Linked DNA regions of Xenopus tropicalis. The protein of the gene in region 1 purifies or fractionates together with the protein of each later gene. This does not show direct contact. Links are inferred from orthologs where the notes say so. Each region holds a gene or a part of one and is shown on either strand. Other genes may lie near its edges.

Evidence for each region. The genes of interacting proteins can lie anywhere in the genome.
Region 2: the proteins of copa (region 1) and copz1 fractionate together in Homo sapiens (co-fractionation; 6 studies listed by BioGRID and IntAct, with this or other methods). This does not show direct contact. The link is inferred for Xenopus tropicalis from reciprocal best matches to the Homo sapiens genes COPA and COPZ1.

Annotation. Positions count from the first base shown.
Region 1 is NC_030684.2:137,301,674-137,308,799, reverse strand, and holds part of copa (coatomer subunit alpha), read right to left. Parts: intron 4,732-7,126; coding exon 4,618-4,731; intron 4,100-4,617; coding exon 4,026-4,099; intron 3,940-4,025; coding exon 3,859-3,939; intron 3,661-3,858; coding exon 3,584-3,660; intron 3,482-3,583; coding exon 3,372-3,481; intron 82-3,371; coding exon 1-81. UniProt on the Homo sapiens protein: The coatomer is a cytosolic protein complex that binds to dilysine motifs and reversibly associates with Golgi non-clathrin-coated vesicles, which further mediate biosynthetic protein transport from the ER, via the Golgi up to the trans Golgi network.
Region 2 is NC_030678.2:145,582,728-145,590,349, forward strand, and holds the start of copz1 (coatomer subunit zeta-1), read right to left. Parts: upstream 4,158-7,622; 5' UTR 4,070-4,157; coding exon 4,052-4,069; intron 939-4,051; exon of another isoform or gene 283-938; coding exon of another isoform or gene 265-282; intron 65-264; coding exon 1-64. UniProt on the Homo sapiens protein: The coatomer is a cytosolic protein complex that binds to dilysine motifs and reversibly associates with Golgi non-clathrin-coated vesicles, which further mediate biosynthetic protein transport from the ER, via the Golgi up to the trans Golgi network.

The sequences.
Region 1 (7,126 bases):
ACGTCCCAAACAGATCCACCCCAGAGATTCCCCGGACATCAGCTTCCACTGCTCCAGGAGACAGGTTCTTCTTCCTCAGGCCTTTCCGTGAGAGGAGAGCAGGGCGGGGTAAGAGAAGCAAAGCAGCAATGTGATATACAATAGCCAGACTTACCAACTGTGCCACCAAAACCACCGTGAAAAACTAAGCCTCTGTGTTGCTGGTTTTCCCCATGTATTCTGTTTGGAATTCAAACTATACGGTTGCTAAGGGAATTGACCCAAACATCCAGCAGTGATTTGAAATGCAAACTGGGAGATGGACTATATCTGCTTTCTGGTTGCTGGGGGTCACTGACTCAATTTCAGGGCAAGGTTTGATTGGAGAAACGCCAGCTGACAGGTATGACTAAGATTTTCAGGTGGATCTTAGCGGTACACAAACATAATGGCACAATGAGCATCGGTGGAAACGAAGTAATGGAGGGCCCCCGGCCTGGATCTGAAGATGGCTGCAGGCCTCCGCTGGCAAGTGATGCAGAGGCATGAGTGGAAAATGTCTGGAACTGCACAGACCCAGAGGGCAGGGAAGGACACTTTGGATGGACCAGTGTGCTAACTTGATGGTGGGGTGGTGGGTTAATGGGGGTGCTGAGGGTTAGATCCTGCATGCATGCACGTGGGGGAGAATTACAGGGAAATGGGTTCAAGTCATAATGGAGAGGCCAGAGGTGCATAGTGGTTAGCTTGCAGGCATTGAGCTTTCTGGCACAGGAACTATGGTGTGTTCTGGTAATGCTGAAAAAAACACTAGAATTCTTCATGGATTATGTAAAAGTGAGTGCAGGAATGGCCAAACCAGGGGCTCCGGTCATGCAAACTGCAATATATGGGCAAACGATCCACTTTCCTGGGAGATATTTGCACAAAATACCTTGAGTGTTGCTTTATTGTTTGGATATGGGTAAGTGTGGGGGATCAGTGCACCCACAAACTGTATGAGTAGTGCTATACAGACTGGAGATCACACCCAGGACTGGAGCAAATGGAAACAGCAGCAGGGATTTAACTGAAGGAGCATTTTATGTTCCGCTTGTAAATAATCCCTGTAGTACCAGAGCCGCTGTGCCAATGCCAGTGTGTGACATATAGCCGCTCTGGTTACCCCCGAGCCGCTGTGTCAATGCCAGTGTGTGACATATTGCTAGTTACCCCCAAGCTGCTGTGCCAATGCCAGTGTGTGACATATTGCTAGTTACCCCCAAGCTGCTGTGCCAATGCCAGTGTGTGACATATTGCTAGTTACCCCCGAGCCGCTGTGCCAATGCCAGTGTGTGACATATAGCCGCTCTGGTTACCCCCGAGCCGCTGTGCCAATGCCAGTGTGTGACATATAGCCACTCTGGTTACCCCCGAGCCGCTGTGCCAATGCCAGTGTGTGACATAAAGCCGCTCTGGTTACCCCCGAGCCGCTGTGCCAATGCCAGTGTGTGACATAAAGCCGCTCTGGTTACCCCCGAGCCGCTGTGCCAATGCCAGTGTGTGGACATAAAGCCGCTCTGGTTACCCCCGAGCCGCTGTGCCAATGCCAGTGTGTGGACATAAAGCCGCTCTGGTTACCCCCGAGCCGCTGTGCCAATGCCAGTATGTGGACATAAAGACGCTCTGGTTACCCCCGAGCCGCTGTGCCAATGCCAGTGTGTGACATAGAGCTGCTATGGTTACCCCCGAGCTGCTGTGCCAATGCCAGTGTGTGACATATAGCCGCACTGGTTACCCCCGAGCCGCTGAATGCAGGCCCAGGAAATATCCCCAATACGACCATTCTGGTTGGGTATTTTAGAAAAGGATGCCCTCTGTATGTGATAAACCCTGGCCCTATACTGTGCTTAAGGAAACAATATGGCAGCTCCTAAATATGAATGTGCAGACAGGGGGATGTACAGCTGACAGTGTGAGAGGGCAGTTAGTCACGTAAGACAGTGGTTATCATTACAGCCGTGACACGGAGGCTGGATACATGAGATACACACACAGTTAGTTCTGCAGTCAGTTCTTACCATCCCATGATAGGGAACATTACTGCCGACATGCACACTGGAAAGGGTTAAACGGGTTTACCCAGCATGCACCCCACGGCAGTTAGACATAAACATTAGCATTTCATCCACAGAGGAAGAGACGGCAGCAAAGGTTCCTCTGGGCAGAGGATGAAGAGGGAGGCAGAGCCTTCTCACCTCCAGCCCAGGATTTCTAACAACTGGTCTTATCTGCCGTGTACTTATGTAATACTGCGGCCTGTCCCACCCACAACTGCAGGAGGGAAGCCATGGAGCAGGGGGGCAGCCTGGGCCCATTTACTAACCATATTCTAAACCTACAAATTAATTGGTCTTCATTTTTTACCAGTTTTTAAATGGGGGTCACTGACCACGGAAGCCAAAGAACTGTTTGCTCTGTGAGGCTCAGATTTTATTCAGGCTGCTCCTATTCATATGGCTCACTCACGCAACTGCTTGGTTGCTTGTAATTTGGACCCTAGCAACCACATAGCTGCTATAATTCCACACTGGAGAGCTGATGAACAAAAAGCTTCATAATTCGAAAACCACACGTAATAAAATAATGAAGACCAATTGCAAAGTGTCTCAGAACAGCACTCTGTACCCTTTAAGAGCGCCATGTTGCATCCAATTACCCATTTGAAGTCCTGGCAGGGGAGGAGAGACTAAAACAATGATGTTACAAATTGTAACAACTTCTCCACAGCTTACAGGAACTACATAACCCACAATGCATTGCACTGCGATGTTCCTTTCACGTGTGCAGCAGGGAATTGTGGGATTGGGAGGATGCAGGCTGAGGACAGGCGACTAATGTTACAAAGTAGTCAGCCAGATCAGCAAGAGAACAGGGGGCGGGGCTTAGGGAACTGTTTCAAACCATATCATTCCATTAAAAATCATGTAAAGGCTGCATATTTTTCAATTGATGATATTGCAAAGTTGCTTGAAACTATGTTGTGTTTGGGTGGAGTTCCCCTTTAACGGAGAACCACCATTGGGCCTTTAGCCTAATCCTATAGATTCCGAAGCAAACTAATCCAGGGGAAGACAAACAAAACCTAATCAGTGTGTGTGATATCTATTACTAGAAGTGCTGACATTACTACTTGTGATAAACGCGTCATGTGATAGATACTGGGCCGGACCACTGGTGGGGGAAACCATTTGTGGGTGAATTTCGGTGCCCTATGTATTGTTCAATGTGCTGCAACTCCCTGAAACTTGCATCTGACCCCCTACACCACTTCCCCTGCTCCAACGCTTCTCTCCCCGTGCAGTTGGGAATGGACAGGTACCACATGGACCCCCTCAACCTGGGCAGCTCACCAGAAATATCCCAAACGCGCACAGTCTGATCCAAGCTGGCAGATACCACCAGGTCTTCAGAGGGGTGGAACTGAGCACACATGACGTAATGGTTGTGACCCGTCAGAACGCTGCAATAGAAGGAGAAGGTTGTTACGGTGACACTAAGGGCAAGGATCCACCCAGCCAGCCAATCAGAGCCTCTGATGGACAGGAAACAAGCTCATTTTTACCAAACGCAAGTGCGAGATTGCCAGTTCCAGATGCGGATGGTCTGATCATCAGAGGCACTCAGGATCCAGGGGTACTCCTAATAACGACAGAACATGGCTTAGTGTTACCCCAGTATAACTCCTCCCCTTCCCGTCAATTTAAATACCAGTGACCTTTTCGATTGTCACTAAAGCCAATGGGAAGTGACGTCACAACAGAGCTGCTGTATGAGACTGTACATTAGCTGTGTGCTCATTGGCTAATGGAGAGGCTTGGGCCTAGGTGGCATACTTACATGATGGAAAAAGGTGGTGCGGATATAATCGAGATGTCCCAGCAGGGTGAAGAGGCAGCGCCGGAGCTTGTAATTCCACACCTTAACGAGACACAGTCGATAGTTACACCCCCCATCGAATTCTAGTGGTACGTTCCTGACGCCCACTAACATGTATCCCTCCTTACCTTGATTTTGTAGTCGTCCCCTCCTGATACGAACAATGGCTGCTGCTTGTGGAAGTCAATGCCACGGACGGGACCTAGGGGACAAGACCAACTGCCATTTAAAGGAGAAGGAAAGGCGTTTTGAAATTTTACTGCCAATACATTAGCCACAATAGGGCAAGCAGAAAGCTTTAATGTATTCTAGAAGCTCCTTCTGTTTGTTTAAGATAGCAGCTACCATTTTAGCTTGGTCTCAGTAGCTGCAGATCTGGCTGCTGGTAGCTTAGATTACAGAGTTGGGAGGAGGAGCGTATTCTGATGGGAGGAGCGGCGTATTCTGGTGGGAGGGGGAGCAGGAGAAGGGAGAGGGAGCAGGAGAAGGGAGAGGGAGCAGACTCCTGCCTATGCCCTGAGAGAGAACACGTGTACACAAAAAGAGACAAGAAATCCTGTGTTTCTTTTGATAGAGGACTCAGTGCAGCATTTCTGTGAGTGCTTACGGCATTATTTACATAGACCTTTCTGATAAAGCTTAGTTTTCACCTTTCCTTCTGCTTTAATGCATGCAAGGCTGTATAACAAGGGCCGTACATAGCGCCAATCGGCAACTCACCGTCGTGCTCATCAAACTTGTCGATAAGGGTGCACATGCGGTAGTCCCACAGCTGGATGACCCCATTGTGCAGGCTGGTGAGGACCCACGGTCTCTTCGGGTGGAAGCTCAGCCCTACGGCACAAAGCAAAGACAGAGTCATGCAATGCAGTCACCATATACTCGATACTCATGAGGGAATCCTGTGCCATTGTAAGGTACAAGTTGCCCTTTGCTGATCCGGAAGAAAGGGGCAAGGATGAGAGGGGGTTGGGTTGCTACTACTGCTTATTGGTTGCTTTTAGTGTTCATGATATTAGCCTCTGCACACAGCTATTATCAAACATTTGCAGAGCGCCCCCTGCTGTTCTATCTGCCCAGTCAAAGCTAAAATGACTGATACAGAAAGCGTCTCCTAATGCTCCTCTGCTCAGCCCTGTCACAAACACAGCAGGCTCCTGTACAGGCTTGGGATTGCTCATCCCCAAACCCATTATCAAGAAAGCTCCCAATTACAGAAAATCCATCTCCCATAGACTCCATGTCAATTGAACAAATCAAATATTTAAAAATGATTTCCTTTTTCCTCTTTGCAATTGGTCTTCATTTTTTATTATTTGTAGTTTTTTAATTATTCCAGTTTTTGTTCTGCAGCTCTCTCAGCAACTATTTGGTTGCTAGGATCCAAATTACATTAGCAACAAGGCAGTGGTTTGAATGAAAGAATGATATATAAATAGGAGAGAACCAGAATAAAAAAATAAGTAATATAAAGTAACAATAGTTTTTCTGGCTGCCGGGGTCGGTGACCCCCATTTATAAGCTGCAAAGAGTTAGAAGAAGAAGGAAAATAATTCAAAAACTATGAAAAACAATTAATGAAGACTAACTGAAAAGATGCTTAGATTTGGCCTTTCTATAACATACTCAAAGTGTACTTAAAGGAGTACAACCCCTTTAATAGCCTGAGACAATTTGCAACTGGTCTTTAGTTATTTTCCAGCAGTTCTCCAGTTTGGAATTTCAGTAGGTATCGGTTGCTAGGGTCCAAATTACTCTAGCAACCAGGCAGTAGTTTGAATGAGAGACTGGAAAATGAACAGGAGAGGAACTGACTAGAAAGTAATAAAAAGTAACAATAACAGTAAAATTGTAGCCTCACAGATCAAATGTTTTCGGTTGCCGGGGTCAGTGACCCCCATTTGAAAGAAAAAAATAAAATAATTCAAAATCCATAAGAAATAAAAAAAATGAAGACCAATTAAAAAGTTGCTAAGAACAAGCCATTCTATAATATACTAAGGGTTATAGGGCCCCAATAGGCACCAAACGCATTAGGCTTTTTCTTGTTCTAAATAAATGTACTTTTAACTTCACCTTTATCATTATTTTTTTTTTAGTTGGGGGGGGGGGCACAATTATTACATTACACAGCCACACTGTTTTATGGGTATCTTCTCCCCTTTTATAACTATACCCCATATTTAAGTATAATTCCTTTGAGCAAATGACTAACGGCAACGCTGCAAGGCACTGTAGGAACTGGAGACCAAGTTGTTTCAAGAGTTGCTACATTGTTTCAGGAGTCAGAACCAGCAGAGGAGAAAGGGATAATGTTATTCATAGCAACAAATAAAGGGGGTGCAATCAGTGTGTATACAGTTAATAAGAGGGGGTACAGCTATTGGGGTAACAGATAAGGGGGTGCAATCAGTGTGTATACAGTTAATAAGAAGGGGTACAGCTATTGGGGTAACAGATAAGGGGGTGCAATCAGTGAGTATACAGTTAATAAGAGGGGGTACAGTTACTGGGGTAACATAAGGGGGTGCAATCAGTGTGTATTCAGTTAATAAGAGGGGGTACACCTACTGGGGTAACAAATAAGGGGGTGCAATCAGTGTGTATACAGTTAATAAGAGGTGGTACAGCTATTGGGGTAACATAAGGGGTGCAATCAGTGTGTATACAGTTAATAGGAGGGGGTACAGCTATTGGGGTAACAGATAAGGGGGTGCAATCAGTGTGTATACAGTTAATAAGAGGGGGTACAGCTATTGGGGTAACAGATAAGGGGTGCAATCAGTGTGTATACAGTTAATAAGAGGGGGTACAGCTATTGGGGTAACAGATAAGGGGGTGCAATCAGTGTGTATACAGTTAATAAGAGGGGGTACAGCTACTGGGGTAACAGATAAGGGGGTGCAATCAGTGTGTATACAGTTAATAAGAAGGGGTACAGCTATTGGGGTAACAGATAAGGGGGTGCAATCAGTGTGTATACAGTTAATAAGAGGGGGTACACCTACTGGGGTAACAAATAAGGGGGTGCAATCAGTGTGTATACAGTTAATAAGAGGTGGTACAGCTATTGGGGTAACATAAGGGGTGCAATCAGTGTGTATACAGTTAATAGGAGGGGGTACAGCTATTGGGGTAACAGATAAGGGGGTGCAATCAGTGTGTATACAGTTAATAAGAGGGGGTACAGCTATTGGGGTAACAGATAAGGGGGTGCAATCAGTGTGTA
Region 2 (7,622 bases), on another chromosome or scaffold:
CAAAGAGCCGCTCCCCATCATTGTCCAAAATTAAAACAGCTTTCACTGTGTACAAGGAAGGATCCTGCCAAGAGAAACACAATAATCACTCTAACCTTGCAACAAAGGAGGAAAGCAATCTGTCGTGCCCAGGAAAATAAAGAGAGAAATGTGTGATGGCTGGGAGGAAATATTTATAGAAGAAGCCAGTTTGTGTGATATGGAAAGACTATTTTTTTAATGTTAAGGACAGTAATAATAAAGTAAATGTCTGCATATACTTACAGCCTTTTCAAGCAACATGGCAACTCCCTTACATACTATATGTATAACTGTGATATCATACAGACACCTACAAAAGAAACTGTGGTGTCACAGAATAAACAGAGGAATATAATACTGGTATGGTTGTTCTCGTGACATGGGTTTCCCATATAAATGCAAAAAACAGAGGCAATACCCTTCATCCACTATATATTATGACCCATCCACTAACACCACTTATTATATTTCCCCAATAAGTAGATCTAGCTAAAGATAAAATCCCCTTCAGGCTGCCAGATTTCTAGTTGACATCAATCTGATATCCTAAGGCACAATGAACGTTCTTCATACCGGGAGGAATGCCTGATTTGTAAATGAATTACTCTGGGCACAGAGCTGATCTTGTACTTGCACACAAGGCTATCCTTGTATAATGCACAGTTTGTGACAAAAGAGAGAAAAGTGGAATGGAAGAGATAAGACCACATTTGACAGAATAACCACAGGAAGGATGTGGGGTATAGTGAGACTTTTTGGACCTTTCATGCTCCACTTGTCAGCCAGTCCATTAGCCTAGAGAGAGCTCACTTTAATGGAGTAGTGAAGCCCTCGAGACAAAGTTCTGTGATGCACTGACTTCCACTTACTCACAGCCGGAGTGTATAACAGAACTTCACCTCAAACGCTGTTCCTCATTCGCATGTAGTTCCACCTCTCTGCCATCCATGTACCAAGATACATGCATTCTATATGCTGCATTGCACTTCTTGTAGCTGATTCAACTGTACAGCATTGCCCTACCAACCCAAGAATGTTTGTGATTCCCAACACATTAATAAGGAATACATTAATACAGGAAATAAATATCAACACCCTCCAACAAAAAACATAAAAAATTATTTAAGTGTTCTAGGACCATATCAAGGGAAAATAGATAACAGAAATCCTTTTGAACTTCCAGTATCCTTATACCCTTAATATCTAGAAGTTTAACTGCACCAGGAGGGGCACAGTTTGACTGTCACTGTGACAAAAGTGCCATAACTGAGAACGGATCAGATCTAAGCAATATTTACAAGGAAAGTTTTCTTTGGCTTAGTAACCCACAGCAATCAATTAGTAATTCACTCTGATTATTCAATTGTAATAAAAGTAACAGAAGGAAAATCCTTGCTGGGGCTTATCCTCCAGGTTAAAATTGACACTGAAAATTCTAAATCCAGGTAGACAATATTTTTTGGGAAAGGCTTGAAATCCAGCAGACCTCTCACATTATACTTAAAGGGGACAAATGGTGTCAAGAAGAAGCATTTTTTCATTGCATTATACACTTCTAAATACATGTATGTACCTTTAAGTTTCCTTTGGTGTTGCTGAAAAAGTTACGTAAATGTAAAAAACTTGCTAGCACCATTCACCGAATTGAGCTGCTGCTTTCCCAGGTTGAGAAGGAGATTATGTGGCACTCAGCACTTGCATTGTAGGATGCCATTCAATCAGCAGCTAGACAGACCTGAGAGGGAACTGCAAATAATGTTCCCTGTGTGAATCAGAGCTGGGGTTGGATACCCACTATCTACTGTTCTTCTGGGGAAACCTGTTAAACTACCTCTCTGTATTAGAAATGCGCATGATGCTTTTAGTTAGATAAATGCAATATATTCCATTTTATATTTCAATAACAAACTATATTTAGCACGTTGTCCCTGCTTTTCAGTCATCTTATAGTTCAACCACCAGACGAGGATGCCCCTTGGGAAACACCGATGACCCTGAATTCAATTAATGGTTTACCACTTACCATAGGAAAGTCATTATTTGCATGTTTGTCCAAACACAAAGGAGCCAATTTACTGTGCTATACCTGGAGTTTGGAAAGCGTTAGCACTTAATGCCTGTTCTGGTTCTACCTTTTATTTGTGGTTGATGGACACGTTCACTTTCCAATTTGTGAGTGGTAACTGATACTGTCAGTATTAAACTATTTGGTTTTTAGTTGTTCTGTTCAGTTTATGCCTAGGGTGCTGACTGAGAATATAATTTATGCTACTGTTCAAAGACAGCAATGTATGATATTCTTGTTAAAGGGAATATATAAAAGGAAGAAACATGGAATAGTAATAAAAACAGAGCATAGATTCAGGCATGTATGAATTCTTTACTGAGTTAGTCCCTATCAAGGTGTCATTGACTCTGCTAGCAGATGTTACCTGTTCTTCTCAATTCCCAAACAACCTCTTTATACAATGATTCTCTTTCAAGAAACTAACATGCCATGTGTCAATATTTGGGGGAACAGTCATTCAAAAGTAGATAAACACAGCAAAGACTAAGTTTAAAGTAGACATATATCATAAATGAAATATATGGTGCTGGTTTCACTCTGGGCTAAAAATAATCATTAGCTTTAAAAATGGCCTTTTTATTAAAGCTTCCTAATGAATTTCTTTCAAGAAACTTACATGCCATGCGTCAATATTTGGGGGAACAGTCACTCAAAAGTAGATAAACACGGCAAACACTAAGTTTAAAGTAGACATATAGCATAAATGAAATATATGGTGCTGGTTTCAGGTTTCACTCTGAGATAAAAATAATCATTAGCTTTACAAAATGGCCTTTTTATTAAAGCTTCCTATGGATCTGCCTGTCCATGTTTCAAGTGGTGGTGGGGGGGGGGGGGGTATGTCCTAATGGTCCCTGCCAGAAGCACAGTAGGAGGGGCATAGCCAATCACACACGCAAATGACGATTTCAGTTCCCTATCAGGTCTGGGAAAGAAGGCAGTGGGAAGTGGAAAAAATGGGTAGGACTAGTAGGGTTTTGGATACATTTTCAATAAATCGGCCAAAAACTTCTCAGCACATTTATTCTAGATTTTGAGGTGCATAATGCACTAGAACTTTCTTGTTTTTACCCAATACAATACCCTTTAATCACAACCTGTAAAGAGAGATTCTATAAAACTATATCTGGGATATGCAATACCCCATGGGAAACAAAATCCTGCAAAAAAAAATTGTTAAGAGTTTAAATGCCTGATACAGATATTGTATTGTGTTAAAACTGTTCTATATTTCTTCTACCATCAGCCATAGCCCAACTGCTGTTGTTAAACTGCAAATAGACTAATAGCAACAATCTGACATGCATAAGCGCCAGGCCTGTCCAGTCTAACCCAAAGAGATTTCAGAATAGCCCAGACACCTTTCTTTTTCCTTAAAAGCCCAATCAATCATCTACTACTACTACTATTACTACTACTACTATTTACTATTACTACTATTACTACTACTACTATTACTACTACTATTTACTATTACTACTACTACTATTTCTACATAAAAATCAGGCAGATTAGGAAGGAAACACACACCCACACAAGGAATATCAGAAGGGGTATAGCACTATAGAGTTTGGCACACTATATTCAGAAAATGTCACTACCAGATATTTTTTATTATTTCTGTGCCAGCAGCCCTTGCCCAGTCCTGCCATTCAATAGGGGGTCCCTGGCACAGGCTCACCATGGCGTAAGGCTCAGGTGCAACATCCCTGAATGACAAAAAGTAACTACTTTGCTGCACGATATCTCCTACAGGTCCCAAAATGAATAGCTACCCTAGCGTTTGAACGTATGCTGGGAGTCACAGCCCAAAGCCTGCCACTGACAGACCCTAACCACTCGTCCCCTGTCCCTACACAGCAGCCTGGCCAGCTAAACAAACGATTGCAACCACCATAGAAAAATAAAGTTTTACCGGCCCCCTCACACTAAAATCAAAGCTATTTCCGCGGCCTCACTCACCAACAGTATAGCATCCATCTTTCTCTATCCTGCTGACGTGGAGCAAAGCGCGCGTTGGCTAATTCATCTGCCAATCAAAACTTTAGCCGCGCCTCCTCGCTCAGTCTGATTGGAACAGGAAGAAGAAGGGTGTGGCTAATAGCGTCTAAAGCTTTTTAATTGGTTGATGGTTTCAGTCACTGACAGGCGGAACACGAATGCGTCTACGTTGGAAGCGGAAGCTGCTTTTATTGGGCAAATGGTTACCATGGCGGAGGAAATAGATGTAAATTACTGTGTCACTAATAGTTTAAAGCTCCACCCTGCTGTTACGCTACAGCTCGGACATTGGAATGAATTGATAGGTCGGTTGACTTTGCGTAAAAACTGTGCTTAGTGCTCTTGGTTCCAATCCAGTGTTCTGCACTATGTTAGCCAGTTGAAAAAGTTGTAGTGTGAAACTTCTGACATGAAGCATAACAAAAGTGGCGTAGATGTGTTGTGGGTATTGGCTGCCTAAGATGATAATCTCAGCAAAGAGTTCCTTCACCAAAGCTGATTACAAAGAAGCAATGTTGGTTCTTATATACAGGATTTTGTACCCAAACAACAAGAGGAAACAAAAAGGAAAACACATAAGCATAATTAGGATGTAAGGAGAGATATGTATGGGGACGTGGGTGATGCAAAGGGGTTAGGGTTTCCACCTTTTCTGGAGAAAACTACTTACTTTACTTTTTTAAAGCAGTAAAAATAATAATGTGCTAATAAGTGAATCTTTTCATTAGGGGTCAGTGCAGTTTAAATGTAAGTTTTCTCAAAGTAACTTGCATAAGCGTAGGGGGCCAATGATGTTGCTGTGGGGCCCAATAACCAGTCATTCCACTGCTGAAAAGTTAATGTAAAGAATACTCATAGAATTCAGTAAATAGATCCCAAATAAAAACAGAGATATTACTCTATAATAAGCAGTTCATATAAATGGTTAAAATGAATAATTAATGTGCTAATAAGTCAGTTCATTGGGGGAGGTAGAATTTACCATTCATTGGTGGTTACTGGAGTTTTCCCTTCTCTGCATTGTCTTTTGCTTGTACGCAAGTTTTTATGCAAGTTACACAAGTTTCTAGGCAGGTTTAAGTTACGTAAATTGATTTAGTTTTGCCATAACTTTATATGTACGTTAGGCAATTTGCGTAACTTTCCCCACATAGCAATGGCAGCCCTGGTTATTCTTATAATATCTCACAGCCCCCTATTTTAACATTAATCATTTTCCAATATTGAATCCCTATTTAGATATTTGAGTTCGAGATTTGGAAACTCTAGTTTATAAACCTTTACTAATATTTCTGTATGTTAGTTTTTTCATTCTAATAACTACCTATTCCTTTTCCCTATTTACTGAAGGCCACACAGGCATTCAATACAATAGATAACGTTATCATTAATACACTTAATTGTTCATTGGCCCATATATGGAGCTCTTGAGTGATCCTGCCTGGTCGATATCAAGCAAGAAAGACAAAAAAGGGGGGGGGGGTGAATCTACATAGTAAACTGTGGATGGCCCCTCTAAAGCTGGTTTCCTAGACATGGAAACTCAGATGTCTATATATAAAATACATACTGCCATAAATAATGTAAAATTAGAGTAATATAAGGGGATGGCCATTTTCCACCCCTTTTATACATATCTTAGTGCTAGGTGCAAGCAGCACTGCCTTCAGACACAGGACCAACTCTACCTTCCATTTCAGAAGTCTGTCACCGGCTGGTACAATTTACAGAGGGACATTATGATATATATATTTTCACATTTTGCACTAGGAATATACCACATGTAAGATTTGCTTTTGAACTTGGTCAATATCCTAACACTTTTTGCAGGTTTTGAATTCTTCCACATTTCTAAGAGTTGGGGTTTGGTTAGACAGAACAATAAAAGCCATAGTGGACTCCAGAAATAATGGTGTAACAATTTTGCCATCCCTTTCCTGAATCATAGCATTAGAGCCACCTATTTTAGTTTTCTTCCTGCTGTCTGTTAATTGCATTGATACATATATATGAATGCTGCTAATATGCCACCCCTTTCTTAGTTGTTCTTCTATGAACAGGTTTCATATGATTATAATCTTTTCTCTAGGCATTGCAAAAATGCTAAATTAAAGGTGATGCCTTACCTATGCAGTCTTTCATAATAGAATCTACCCTAGGTAGGTTGGCTTACCTACAGTACCTTCATTATTATTAAAAAAAACTCAACTTTTTTGGAGGCCCTGTATGAACTGATTATTTATTAGTATGTAGTGTTTGCAGTTTATAGTGAACTGATCAGATCATTTCCTATGCTGATAACAAATGTTGTATTTATTTGTACTATGCATGTTTGGGAAATAACTGTAGGATAGTGCTTCTGTTTCAATTTCTTATTTGATAAAATACAACTTCCTTGCACAGGTTATACAGTGGTGTGAAAAACTATTTGCCCCCTTCCTGATTTCTTATTCTTTTGCATGTTTGTCACACAAAATGTTTCTGATCATCAAACACATTTAACTGTTAGTCAAAGATAACACAAGTAAACACAAAATGCAGTTTTTAAATGAGGGTTTTTATTATTTAGGGAGAAAAAAAATCCAAACCTACATGGCCCTGTGTGAAAAAGTAATTGCCCCCTGAACCTAATAACTGGTTGGGCCACCCTTAGCAGCAATAACTGCAATCAAGCGTTTGCAATAACTTGCAACGAGTCTTTTCCAGCGCTCTGGAGGAATTTTGGCCCACTCATCTTTGCAGAATTGTTGTAATTCAGCTTTATTTGAGGGTTTTCTAGCATGAACCGCCTTTTTAAGGTCATGCCACAACATCTCAATAGGATTCAGGTCAGGACTTTGACTAGGCCACTCCAAAGTCTTCATTTTGTTTTTCTTCAGCCATTCAGAGGTGGATTTGCTGGTGTGTTTTGGGTCATTGTCCTGCTGCAGCACCCAAGATCGCTTCAGCTTGAGTTGACGAACAGATGGCCGGACATTCTCCTTCAGGATTTTTTGGTAGACAGTAGAATTCATGGTTCCATCTATCACAGCAAGCCTTCCAGGTCCTGAAGCAGCAAAACAACCCCAGACCATCACACTACCACCACCATATTTTACTGTTGGTATGATGTTCTTTTTCTGAAATGCTGTGTTACTTTTACGCCAGATGTAACAGGACACGCACCTTCCAAAAAGTTCAACTTTTGTCTCGTCGGTCCACAAGGTATTTTCCCAAAAGTCTTGGCAATCATTGAAATGTTTTTTAGCAAAATTGAGACGAGCCATAATGTTCTTTTTGCTTAAAAGTGGTTTACACCTTGGAAATCTGCCATGCAGGCCGTTTTTGCCCAGACTCTTTCTTATGGTGGAGTCGTGAACACTGACCTTAATTGAGGCAAGTGAGGCCTGCAGTTCTTTAGATGTTGTCCTGGGGTCTTTTGTGGCCTCTCGGATGAGTTGTCTCTGTGCTCTTGGGGTAATTTTGGTCGGCCGGCCACTCCTGGGAAGGTTCACCACTGTTCCATGTTTTTGCCATTTGTGGATAATGGCTC